Linked DNA regions of Caenorhabditis elegans. The protein of the gene in region 1 interacts with the protein of each later gene in a biochemical or structural test. Each region holds a gene or a part of one and is shown on either strand. Other genes may lie near its edges.

Evidence for each region. The genes of interacting proteins can lie anywhere in the genome.
Region 2: of the proteins of clec-261 (region 1) and famk-1, one has a biochemical effect on the other in vitro, tested with the Caenorhabditis elegans proteins (one study listed by BioGRID).

Annotation. Positions count from the first base shown.
Region 1 is NC_003283.11:20,289,380-20,296,304, forward strand, and holds clec-261 (C-type lectin domain-containing protein), read right to left. Parts: upstream 5,110-6,925; coding exon 4,906-5,109; intron 4,405-4,905; coding exon 4,094-4,404; intron 738-4,093; coding exon 560-737; 3' UTR 509-559; downstream 1-508.
Region 2 is NC_003284.9:15,208,765-15,214,961, forward strand, and holds famk-1 (Extracellular serine/threonine protein kinase CeFam20), read right to left. Parts: upstream 4,496-6,197; 5' UTR 4,469-4,495; coding exon of another isoform or gene 4,436-4,468; 5' UTR 4,414-4,435; coding exon 4,320-4,413; intron 3,258-4,319; coding exon 2,978-3,257; intron 2,884-2,977; coding exon 2,674-2,883; intron 2,624-2,673; coding exon 2,531-2,623; intron 2,450-2,530; coding exon 2,337-2,449; intron 2,275-2,336; coding exon 2,121-2,274; intron 2,072-2,120; coding exon 1,929-2,071; intron 1,628-1,928; coding exon 1,331-1,627; intron 1,222-1,330; coding exon 1,067-1,221; 3' UTR 525-1,066; downstream 1-524. UniProt on the Caenorhabditis elegans protein: Golgi serine/threonine protein kinase that phosphorylates secretory pathway proteins within Ser-x-Glu/pSer motifs.

The DNA of each region.
Region 1 (6,925 bases):
ATCAATATTTAAAAAATATGATAAAAATATAAATTAGTGACGAGAATAAAGAGAAGATGTAGTGATCGAGAGACTGGAGACGCAGACAGCAAAAAATGATAAAAAGAAATCCACGCAAGAAACAGGTTTTATAGTGTATATAATGACATACATATCAACTCAGAAAAATACTGATTAAAATAATTTTGGGTCCTGCCACGGAAACTCTGGGAGTACTGTAGTTTTGGCTAAAAAAATTAGAAATTCCACAGTTTCTGAAAGTATAAATATTTTTACATATTAAAAAAAATCATTTGAAAATTTTAATGATTGAGTAAATTATAAAACTTTGAAATTAAAAAAAAATCTTTAAAAAAAAACATTTTTTTTGGAGTCCTGTAGTTTTGTCAAAAAATGAGATTTTAACAGTTTTAATATTTTTTAAATTAAAAATCTCCTAAAATATGCAAGTCTTGAAATTTTTTTGCTCATTTTGAGAAACTAAAAATTGTTTTAAAAACTTCTGAAAATTTATTTCAAAAATTTTATTTCAAAAATCCAAATAAACATTTAATTTCATTTAACCAGCTGCCATTTTTCCACAAGCAAACATTCTTGTTCCAGGTGTCACTGGAGCAATACACGAAAATTTGTAAAGAATTCCATGTGTGAAGCCAGTTCTGAAGCCTTCCAGGTCATAGGGTCCGGGTACCCAGTTGGGGAGCATGATGAATTGTTGGATGCACGCGGCGGTTCCTCTGAAAAATATTGGGATTCTGGTAAAAAAATTATTATGAAGACTTGAAAAATCCGCTTTTTTTCGAGACAGAATTCAGCTGAAAATCTTGAAAATTAGCAGAGTTATTAATTTTCAAAAACAAAAAAATCAACTTTTTTTTTGAAAAATTCTAATTTTTCTCACATTCTCTGAGCTTATTATAAAATTTAATTTACTACATATATTTAAAAATAAAAGAAATCTGAGAAAGTTCAAATTGAGCCAAGTTACTATTTGAAATTAATTTTTTTTTTTGAAACTTTGGGCCGTCAGGAAAACTCTTTGGGTGTTTTAGGATTAATTAACATTTACTTGAAATTTTGTTGTGCTGACTAGAAGAGTATCAGAGCTACATTTTGAATAAAGTTTATTTGAAAATCTTTAAAGCGAGCGGAGTTTACTATTTTTGAAGTTTACAAATTCCAAAAAAACATCAGTTATTTTGTTTAAAACTTCTTTACTGTAGGTTTTTATGGTAATTTACACCTATGATTCGAAAAAATTTTTTTGTTTTGAATTTTTGAATTAAACAAGTATCTAACTACATCATATATCAAAAATAATTCAAAAATTCAAAAAATGAGCAAAGTAGCTCTAGACATAGACATAACGGCTTCACCGATTCGTCTAATTACTGTTTATAGAACTCCTTCTTGTAAAATCCGAATGACTAACAAACTGCTAATATCCATTTCAAATTTAATAGATCCCCAACTAAACGTTATTATTACGGGGGACTTTAACATAAAAGAAATTAGCTGGGTTTCTAACCCAGTCTCAGGGTCTTCAGATGCCGGTAAACTATTAGCTAATTTTTGTATAAACAACAATCTTCATCAAAACGTCTCAACACCTACGAGAGGCAAAAACCTATTAGACCTCGTCTTCAGTAACTTTCATATTTTAGATATTGAGGGAAGTAGTCCAATTGGGTCTTCAGACCACTGTAAAGTTACATTCAAAATTGATCTTCTTTCTAAATTACCGCCAGTAACCTTCAATATGGCAGACTATCGAAATATAAACACCGATTTTCTAGCCTCCCTTTTCTCTAATCCAGATTGGACCACCATTCTAGGGCATGGAAATGAAGTGTCTCAAAAATATGATAATTTTATCTCTTATCTCTTACATGCGTTCAGTGTAACGGTTCCCTGGATCACTGTTGACAGTAACGAAGGTCCGCTACCAGATTATCTAGTATCATTTCGAAAGCATGTAGATTATTGTTGGAAAACAGCCGCTAATTCTCATTCCAAAGCAGATTTTGATGAGTATATAAAAACCACAAAAAAATTCCGAAAAATGCTCAAAAAGTACAAAAAAAAATAGCGAACTCAATTATTTAAAAATGAAAGGACTCAGTAAATTCTCACATCACTCCAAGTTTGTCCTCAAACCTAGAAATAACATAATCCCCGACTTCACAGATCCCAATGGACGAACTGTACGAACTGATATTGATAAAAGTGAATGTCTGGCTCATCACTTTGAAAGCCAGTACACAAATATAAGTCCTGTAACTACCAATTCTTACGCTCATTTGAATTCTGATCAGTCCCCAATCTGGATAACTGATGATGAGGTACTTAAATTGTTAAATAAAATCCCTAGCTCCCAAACCTTGACCCCTGACGGCGTCCCCGCTAAATTCATAAAACTAATATCCCCTCAAATTGCAAGTATTCTCAGCCAGCTCTTTAATATGTCTATGACATCAAAACAGGTTCCTAAAAAATGGACCGAGTCAATTGCCCTCCCCCTAGCAAAAACGCCAACCCCAACAAGCGTCAATAATTTCCGTCCAATTTCTATAACTTCAATACTGTGTAGAACGTTTGAACGATGCCTGCTTCGCAGAATTCTTCCATTTCTCAATGATACTAACTTTTGGTCCAACAGCCAACACGGGTTTCTCCCTCAACGATCCACCACAACCTGTGTACTCTCCGCTTTAAACGATTGGACATTGAGTCTAGAAAAAGGGGATCAAGTAGATGTAGTATTTTTTGATTACAGTAAAGCATTTGACAAAGTAAATCATTCACTCTTAATTGAAAAATTAATAAAGGCCGGGTTTAACTCAATGCTCATAGGATGGGTTGACTCATTCCTTTCCAACCGTACGTTCAAAGTAAAAGTGAACAATTCTATATCTTCTGTTAGGAACGCCCCATGCGGTGTCCCCCAAGGCAGCGTACTTTCACCTATACTTTTCGGCATATTTGCAAATGATCTTGGTGAAAAAATTCCTAAAACTGTAAAATATATGCAGTACGCTGATGACCTCAAACTATATTGCTCTTTTGATAAAACTAATCCCACTAATGATCTGCAGGAAGCAATCGATGTTATCTTGAATTGGTCCAAAAGCTCATCACTAGAGTTAAACCATGATAAAACCGTTTGCATAAGTCTAGGTAAACACCCTAAAACTCTAATATATAAGCTTGAGGACTCTATCATAAAACGAGAATCTTTAGTGAGAGACCTTGGATTCTTCATTAATAATAAATTGAATTTTGAAGAACACTGGCAAAAATCGATAAATAAGGCAAAATATTCAAGTTATAATGTTTTCAAATCGTTTCATTCAAACAACATAAAGTTAATGGTTTTTCTTTTTAAAACATTCATAAGACCTTTCCTTGAATACGGAATTCCGGTTACAAACACCTTTAAAAAAAGTATGGTTAAAGAAATAGAATCGGTCCAAAATTCCTTCACACGAAAACTTATGTTTAGAATAGCTGGGCGCGTGATTAAAAGGACAGACAAAGTCTACTTAAACTCAGCTGAAAGATCGAAATTGTATGGTCTGGAGCTTCTAGAAGATAGAAGAAAGCTTTTAGATGTAAAGCTCATTAGGAAACTAATAGCGGGCAAAATCAATATAGACCACTCACAGTTTTTTGAGTTCAAACCTTCTGAAAGAACTAGGAACAGCCACGCCTACAGGTGGAAAACTCCCAAAAGCAAACTTCGAACTCATTTTTTCACTCATCATGTTCTCAGTGCTATAGTAAACCCTGCAAAAGGCAATCATTCTTAACTTTCGTTCATCAGACACAAACTTTATCCCTTTTTTGAACACATTAAGAAATGATAAGGTCCCAACCCAAATGACAAGGCCTCAACCCGTTCCCACTCTGTATTATCCCTTAATATTCATATTTTGTATTTTTTTTTCCTCTTTTTTTCTCTTACTTTCACGTTCAAATAAACGTATTCAATAATAATAATAATAATAATAATAATAAAGTTACGTAATTTTGAAAATGCAACATTTTTCCTAGTCTGTTCAATTTGGGACAAAAGTCAAAATTTTCCACTTACGGATAATCCACACTATCAGGCTCTCCAGTAGCCCATTTAAGCCCGGCTGTGCCAGTAGTGACACCATCGGTCCACATAAAGGTGTTCAGTGGTCCACATGCGCCAGCTTTGCAGCCCGCGCGAGTTGTGGCTCCTAACCAAAGTCCGGCAATTCCTCCGCCGGCGGCTCCAAGCTTTCTTCCAGCTTCATCTGCCACAGCCATACGTTCTTTATCGTTTTGGAATCCGGTTAATGTGGCTCCAAGAGCCACACAGGCGCTTTGTCCGTCCTTCTGTGCAAATGAGTTGTCGTTGATTCCGGCTAGGCCGACCTAATAAGTGGAAACATATTAATTGAATGGAGCTACATTGGATTATTAAGCTGCTAAAATTCCGGCGCAATTGCTCAACTGTGAGCCAAAGTACATCTGTTTCAAGTTTGAGGCTTGCGTTGCGGTCGCGTCGCGGTCAGTCTAAAATTTTCTAATGCCTAAATCTCAGCTCTCACTGAGGCTTTAATGCCCAAATTTTTTCATTGGAATAAGAAAAACATGCAAAATTGAATATGAAATTTCAAATTTCAAATTTCAAATTCTTCAAAAAAACCATGCGTCGCGGCCGCGTCGCGGTAGGGCTACAATATTCAAAATACCAGAACTCAGCTCTCTTTGACGTTATTCAGTTAAAACTTTAGGGGTGGACTAATTTCATTGAGACAATTTCAAAATTTGATAAGTCGGATGTCTGCGTTGCGGTCGTAAATTTGAAACAGCTGTATCTCAGCTCCCAAGTGGTCTAGAAAGTTGAAATTTTTAAAGAAACTCTAAACTCACAAAGACACACCAAACTCCGCTTTGCCGCTCAAATCTCAACCATCCAGGGCTGCAATTGCCTCCTCGTCCTGGCCCCCCAGGTCCTGGTCGAGGCCCATGACCTCCGTGCTCCTCGGAAGAAGATGAAGAGTGCCGACTTCCTTTCCCATCAAAATAAATAGCAAACGTGGTACCAGCCAACAAGAATACAGTTACGGATTTCATAGTGATTCAGCATAAAAACGAAGAAAAATTCGAGTATTTGTATACGGTTTCCGAGAGTGATAAAAATGTTCCGGCGCGGGGTTTTTATTGCAAAATTTGATTACAAGCCGTATTTTCTGGTCAAAATATCAGGGAGCAAAGTTTCACTAATCAGAAACGTATTCCTGCTCCATCGTGCGTTGCGGTCGTGTTGCGGTTTTAATTAAATTTTTTTGAAAGCACAACCCAATGAAAAAATTAAAAAAATAGTAAAATTTTTCCTGAATTTGAAAATTTTGTAACTTTGTCAGTTTTGAAGTTTTTCAGATAATTTTTTTTGTATAGTTAATTTGAATTATTTTTCTACAAGAAAATTACTTTAAATTTACAGTACCCTCCAAAAATACAGTACCACAAGAGTTTTCGTGAAAAGACCCAAATTTTCGAAAATAATTTTTATTGGCCCAAATTTTTAAAAAGTTGAAAATTCTGTAACTTTGTCAGTTTTCTAGATTTTCAGATAATTTCTTTTGTAAAATCAATTTAAACCAATTTTCTACCAGAAACATATTTTAAAATTACGTCTACCTCCAAAACTACAGTACCCCAAGAGTTTTCGTGAAAGGACCCAAATTTTCGAAAATAATTTTTTTTCCAAAAATTCAAGTGCTCACAACTCAGCCCATTTTCAAGATTTTCATGTAATTTTTTTGCAGCTTAAACCGGAAATATTACTTTATGATGATAGTGTCATATTTCAAATAAACTACTACGAACTACAGTACCCCGAGGGTTTTCGTAGCGGGACCAAAAAAATTGCCCCGGGCTCCAAATTTTCCAAATAAAATTGCACTTTGGGGGATTCTCCTTCCACTTAAGCTACTGCTCTTCCTTTTCTTCATTCTTTCCACTCAATATATCCTCCCCGCCCTCCCCTTTTCAAAAATTGTTTGCTTTTGTGCCGAGGACCGGGGAGCTCTCTCTGTTCATCATCGCCCCCTCTCATTTTTATACACTTTTGTATGGCTCGCCGAGCAGCTTTTTGAATATTTTTGTATTAAAATTTGAGGTCATAAAAATACAATAAGTTTGTGGAGAAGTTTTGAAAAAAAGGATTTTTTTGGAAATTTTGGGAAAAAAAATTAAAAAATAATTTTTTTTTTCAAAATTTCTGGTTTTTTATATTCTAAAAGTAAGCACATTAATTGCTTTTTTCCTGTTTTCAGTCGAAAAATTGAAGAAAAACAAATTGATGAAGCCATAAGTAAATGGCACAAAGGGTGTACACACATCACAAAAACAAATGAAGCCAATTTTTCATTTCTGGCCTCAATTTTTTTGTCGTTTTTTTTTAAACTAATGAGTTTTTGCATATTTTATTAATTTTTCTCTAAATTCTTTGAAAAAAGTACTCGAAAAATAGTTTTAAAAATTTTTTTGAATTTTCTAAATTTTTGAAACGTATAACTCCGGTTGTTTTCAAGATTTTAATATAAATTTTAGCTCAAAACAAGCCCACAATGAAAGGCTTTTATTCTTTCAAAAAGTTAAAAAAAAGAGCTGAAACTACAGTCACCCAAGAGTTTTTGCGATGACTCAAAATTTAAATGTTTTTAAAATTAAAAACCAAATTTCTAAAACTCATAACTCCTCTTATTTTTGAGATTTTGAAATAATTTAAAACTTAAACTGAGCTCCAGGTAAGTGTTTTTTTAGGTTATGTTACAGTTTGATTTTCCCATTAAAATCTACAGTATCCCAAAAATTTGCTAATTTTGATTCCATTTCAAAACCTCATAACTCTGCGCAAATATAGTATTTTTTAAAGTAATTTTTT
Region 2 (6,197 bases), on another chromosome or scaffold:
TTCATGATTTTTTCTTTAGCATTTGATTAGAAACACCGTTTGTCAATTTTTAAATTACTTTTCCGTAAAGCGGAAATTTCAAAATCAACCTAATAATCGACAATTTTAATATTTTTTATAATATTTTTTTAAAGAAAAGTGTTCGAAAAATTGACTAACAGAATTTTAACTCAAATGCAGAAGATGAAATCAAGGAAACCTGGTAAATTAAGCCAGAAAACGCGAAAATATTGAAAATGACGTCACTCATTTGCGCGGGAATTTAAATTTAATTTGGCCGCTTTTTTTAATTTTTGCAAAGTTGAAAAATCATAAAAAATTTTGAAATTTTGAAATTTTTTTTGAAATTTTGAAAATTGTTAGCAATATTGAACAGTTATATTCGGTCATTAGGGTCCACTTTTTGTCAAAATTTTAATTACTTGAAACTAAAATTTTTTTAAAAAAATTTTAAAAAATTCCTTGAAACTTGATCTCTGAAAATAACAATTCCTGTACTGGAAATGAAAAAAAAAACACAGAACAATTTAATCACAACATTTATGATTCGTCCTGAAAGTAGAAAAAAAAACAACCGATTTGACAAGAAATGGAGCACTGCAGCCACATTGCTCAGCGAGAATTATATACCCAGTAAGTTTGCGTCTTTTGATAAAAGAAGTATGATATTCAATAGGAAAAAAAAAGAAATGACAAAAAAAGAGCTGAGAATATATAATCATAATATTCAACAGAAATTCTACACAAAACAACTATCAGGTTACTTTTCAAATTCTTCGAGAAATTTTTTCGATATTATAACACCGATTTGTTTTTGATTTGACCTACATAATATGACCCTCATAAATGAATGTTTGACCAGAGAGAAACCGTGGAGCGATGGATGGGATACCTTCTTGTGGGTTTAAAAAACGGGGGGAAGTGAAAAGAAAAAATACAACAATAACAGAGAGTGAAAGAAGCTCGAGACCCGAATGCAACGCAAAGAAACATTGAAGTTTAAGAGGGAAATTTAAAATGCTACTACATGACCTTGGTAAAATTGAGAAGACCTAACGAATGACGACTAAACAGTTTTCTTATCATCCTTCTTATCCTGATGCTCCTCGCTTTGCTCTTCGTCGTTTTGCTCGGCGTCTGAGACATCGGGGTTGTTGTACTCGGCAACTAGAACTTCGGCAACTCCCCGGCTTTCGAAGCATTCCAGTATGTGAGACATAACTGAAAATTGTTTTTTTTTCTTTAAGTTTTGTATTCCCAAATTGGAATTTTCACAGGAAAATATTTTTCAGGTTTTTCGGTAACCTTTCAATATAATTTCAATACTTACTTTTTGCTAACCGCCTTTCCATTGCCGGATAATGCTTATAAGCCAAAATCGGATGGGCTGGATCTTTCGATAATGACTCGTGTAGGGCTTTCGTCAGTGACTTTGGTGTACTGTAGAAATTCATAAGGGTCTGGAAAGTGGATGGACGTAGGATGCAGCATTGTCGGAGCGGGAGAATGATGTCGTCATCGTCAAAGTCAGATCTGCCAAATGCTCGACCATGGTCGAGATGGATCGCATAGGAAGGAAGATCGTTGAACACGTTGAAGGATTCGAAGTGATGACGGTCTTGGTTTCCTGGATGTTTGTAGTTTAGTCTTTGGTTAATAATAAAATGTTAGTAAACTTGTGGTAAATGTGCACCCGACATTGAACGAGGTCCATAAAAAGCACTGTGAGCAGCAAATTCTATATTGTACAGTTGCTGTCTTTCAATTACTCTCCTCATACAGAACAGTTATGAAACTTTAATACTCGTAGCACTGTCAGAAATACGAAAAAAAAATTCCGTACAGTTATTCTATATTTACCATCCATTCGGAGGGTGCAAACACCACCGGTTTTTTATGTTCAAAATTTGACAACTGCAAATTCTTACCTATTAAATAATCCAAAATATGAATATCAACCAGATCAAGTAACCTTCTTCCATGAGCATATTGTCGCTTGGTTTTCACCTTATCCGTGCAATAATTCATACTCGACTGCCATTCAGCTACTTGATTCTTTTTCGAGTAGGTTCTGAAAACAGTCTGCTAGCTATTTTATTATCCATCGGCCTTCAACCTACCGTCTATACGGACTCCTATTATGCTTCCGAGGAACTGCTGACTCGTCGGGTAAGAACACTTGCACACTGCCTTCCTTCATATCAGGAAGACCGCAAATTGCATGTGTCGTGTCGCAGTAATAATCGCATCGTGACACGAAGCAAAAGTTTTTGGCTGGAATTATTTTTATAAAATTGATGTGGTGAACAGGTTTGGTGTCTTGATGTCAACTGTACCTGGAGAGAAGAAGAAAGTCTTCTTGAGTTTTTTCTCTGCTTTTTCGAACAGCTCAGTTGTCATATTGAGAACTCGTCCAACGGTGGGGATTGCTCGTCGGAAGCCGAGCACTCTGAAATTCAACTGACCGATTTAAAAAAAAAAATTGATAACCATCTCTAACAAAAACAAATCCATTATTTAATCCACTAACCTGTCTAAATGGAAAGTTGCGATTTCTGCATGATGTCGTTCAAAATCACTGAAGTAGAAATGATTCGGATCCGATTCATAATCGCGTCCAAATCTGAAAAAGAAAGAAAACAACTATTTTCCGGTGTTCTCTGTTCATCAAACCTCATCGGCTTAAACACGGCCTGCTTATCGTTTTTGAAGGTGAACACAAATTTCACTTGAGTGCCTCCATCCATAATGTGCACGTGTTTGATGGGACTTGTGTTGAGATCGTGCAGCAAGTTGTCAATCATTTGATCATCCGAGTACACCGAACAACTTCCAATGTTTGAGTAGAACCTCTCCCAGTTGTCATCTTCCGGCACATTTCTCCTGAAACAGTGATGAGATTTTTTTTTGCTGGCAGCTGGTGTTAAAATTTTCATTTTCATTTTCAATTTTTGAAATTTCAAAATATAAAACTTACTGTTCAGACTTCTCCCAGAACTTTGAAAGCGTGATGTTCTTCTTGCACTCGTTCTGCCTTAACTGATCAAAATCTACATTTTTAGTGAGATCATAAAGTTTGCGTAAAGTGATTTTGTTAGATGAAAACAAGAAGTTGAATGGATCACTAAGATCCTTCTCGCCAAGGCTTGGAGGAATTGGCTGGTGTGGTAGACTATTTTGTCCGACTGGAAACAAGTCGGGACTCTGGTGGCCTACAGCTCGTGCTTCGTTTGATTGAGGTCCTTGTTTCCATTCTCCTGAAAATGGATGCAAGATTATTTAGGAGAAACCTTGTGAATGGTTTGTTTAAAACTATCAACTTAGTCATACAGGCCCAGAGTTTAATAAATATAGTTATCATAAGAACTGTTAGAAAAGAGAGATAATTGAAAGGTGGAGTAGCGCCAGTGGGGAAATTGTTAACAACTATTCCTAAAATGCCGAAATGATCGAATATCATAATAAAACTTTTCAAAAATGTTTTCTAAATTTTTTTATTTACTGTCAAAAAGTGGCAATTACTCAGTTTTTGCCACTTATAATACTGGAAGTCGACCAAAATTATTTTTTCCTACATTTTTTACGCTTTAATTTTGTTTTATTTATTAGGATTTAAACATTGCAGGGGTCGGAACATGCGACGTTGCTCCAGATTTCACCAAAAGCTCATATTTTTCAAAACTGTGGAAATTTGCCAAAACTTTGATCGGAAATTATAAAAAATCTAAAAATGTTTTGGAGTGTTTTATTATGATATTCGGTCTTCTTGGATCATTATTAGTGTAGTTAGACAATATCCCCACTGGCGCTACTCCGCCTTTAATATTATAAAGTTCGAATAGGCCTAGTAAAAATATTATCAAAATGGGTAAACTACGAAAATCTATATATGTAGAACGTTTCAGACTTATTAAAAATTGCAATCAAATTTTTGGCAAACTGCCAGATTTTCAAGAAAATACAAAGTTCATAAACATTTTTTTGTAATTTTTTCCAACGTGTCATTGTCAAAAAGTTTTCTACTACTTTTTTAATACTTTTCTAGGAACAATATAAAAACTTTTGTGGAAAAGTGTTGATTAAAATAGTATTCAAAGATGTCTAAAGTTTTTCCATTTTTTTCGGAAATTGAGATTTGATCTAAATTTTCATATAGACAATAAAGACAAAATTGTCACAAAACTCCCACATGTTATAGGCCACATTTAGGCATAGTTTCTCTCTTGTTTTATCGATTGCTATCGCCACTATTCCTTTCTAGCGAATTCAAATAATCATTTTCAACCAATAAACAACACATATACAATTTTAGAACTTACTTTCATAGTTGTCCTTGGAAAACGAGATTATAACCAGTGTAGCCGCAAAAACTCCGATCGCCAAAGTGAATAATCGCTTTATATTGCACCGCATGTCTTTCTGGACTTTTCTCGTCTCACTTCTTGCTCTTTGCTGGTTTCAGCTTCATCAAACGCCGGCTCCCAGTTTTGTGACACTGCAAAATGAGCATTTATGGGGTGAGGTTCATAAGCTATTATAGATAAATAATGGGGTAGAATGAGGAAACAAGAGATCAAAGCGATTAATTAATAATTTACTCCAGCAATATATACCAATTACAATTCAATTCTAGTCCTATAAATTCAATTAAAGTTTCTTCTAATGGACAGAAGAGGGCAAGTGGGGGGAGAGAAAAAGAAACTGCCACACTGTTTTCGAGAAACATCACCACACGCACGCCATCAACCACCTCCTCCTCCTCCATCCACTCCTAAACTGACAGACCCGCACACCTTGTATATTGTAAAAACGACAAAACATTGGAGAGGCGAAGAGGCTGTAAACATCGGCGAATGATGTGGAGGGAAGGGCCTGGGAACGTCAAAGGTGTGTGTGGTTCGTTTCTTCGGCAGAGTCGCTGTGTGTGTTTGCTCGTAAAGTGCTGGGAAGCAAGAAATTGACGGAGGATTGCCCACCTTGCGTCACCGAACTTATTGGTGGTAAATGGGACTTTTTGGAAAATTAGCTGGGTCATCATTTGGGATGTGGTCAGGGTGGAGAACGAGATTGAGATTTTTGATATCCCACATCTAGAAATGATCCGTTATATGTATATTATGAGCCTTTAATAAGAGATGAGCACCAAAATTTGATTTATTATCCGTTTAAAAAACAGAAAATTTGGTTCGCTTTTGAGAATATTTTATGTAGAAAATTAAACAAAAACTGTAAGTTTGACAGGAAATTTCAATTAGCGACGAGGAAAAATCAACGACAATACTTTTACTAAATAGTTTTTTTAATTGGAAAAACAACACTTATTTTATCAAAATTTATAAATCGGACCAATTCAAGTTTGTTAATTTGTTACTAATTTGAAAAAAAACTCATAATTAAAATCAATTTTGCTCCCATGCAGATATATTTACTGCTCAAATAAACTAGGCTTAAACGTTTTACGATCAAACGTGTGGTTTTACATAAGCTTTTAAAATCTTAAAGTGGAGTAGCGCCAGGGGGAAATTGTTAAAAACCATTCCTATGGTGCCAAAATAACCGAATATCATAATAAAACTTTTCAAAAAAGTTTTCAAAATTTTTTTATTTACTGTCAAAAAGTGACAATTACTCAGTTTTTGCCACTCATAATTTTGGATTTCGACCAAAAAAAAATTTGTTTTTCTGCATTTTTTATATTGTAATTTTGTTTTATTTATTTGGATTTAAACATTGTAAGAGTCAAAACATACGACATTGCTTTGGATTTCCTCAAAAGCTCATATTTTTCAAAAATTTGTCAATTTTCCAGAACTTTGTCCGGAAAAAAAAGGAGTGGTTGATTATGATATTTGGTCGTTTTGGATCATTATAGGTTTATTTAGAAACAATCCCCACTGGCGCTACTCCACTTTTAAACATTGCACATAGAGAGAAAAATATGAAAAATAAGTACGAATCTGAAATTTCAATATTTCTATTTTAATTCCAAATCTGATTCAAAATTTAAAGATTTTTTCTTTCTATTTTCTAACCATAAAATAAAAACATTGGATCAAGAAAAAATAATCTTTCTCAAATTGTAGTCAGAATGATGATATCAGAGAAAAACAAATTTCAAGCAAAACAAAAACTATATGATAAGAAAGATGAAGAAAAAAATTGATTACACAGTTAACTGATGTTTAAACTTTTTAAAT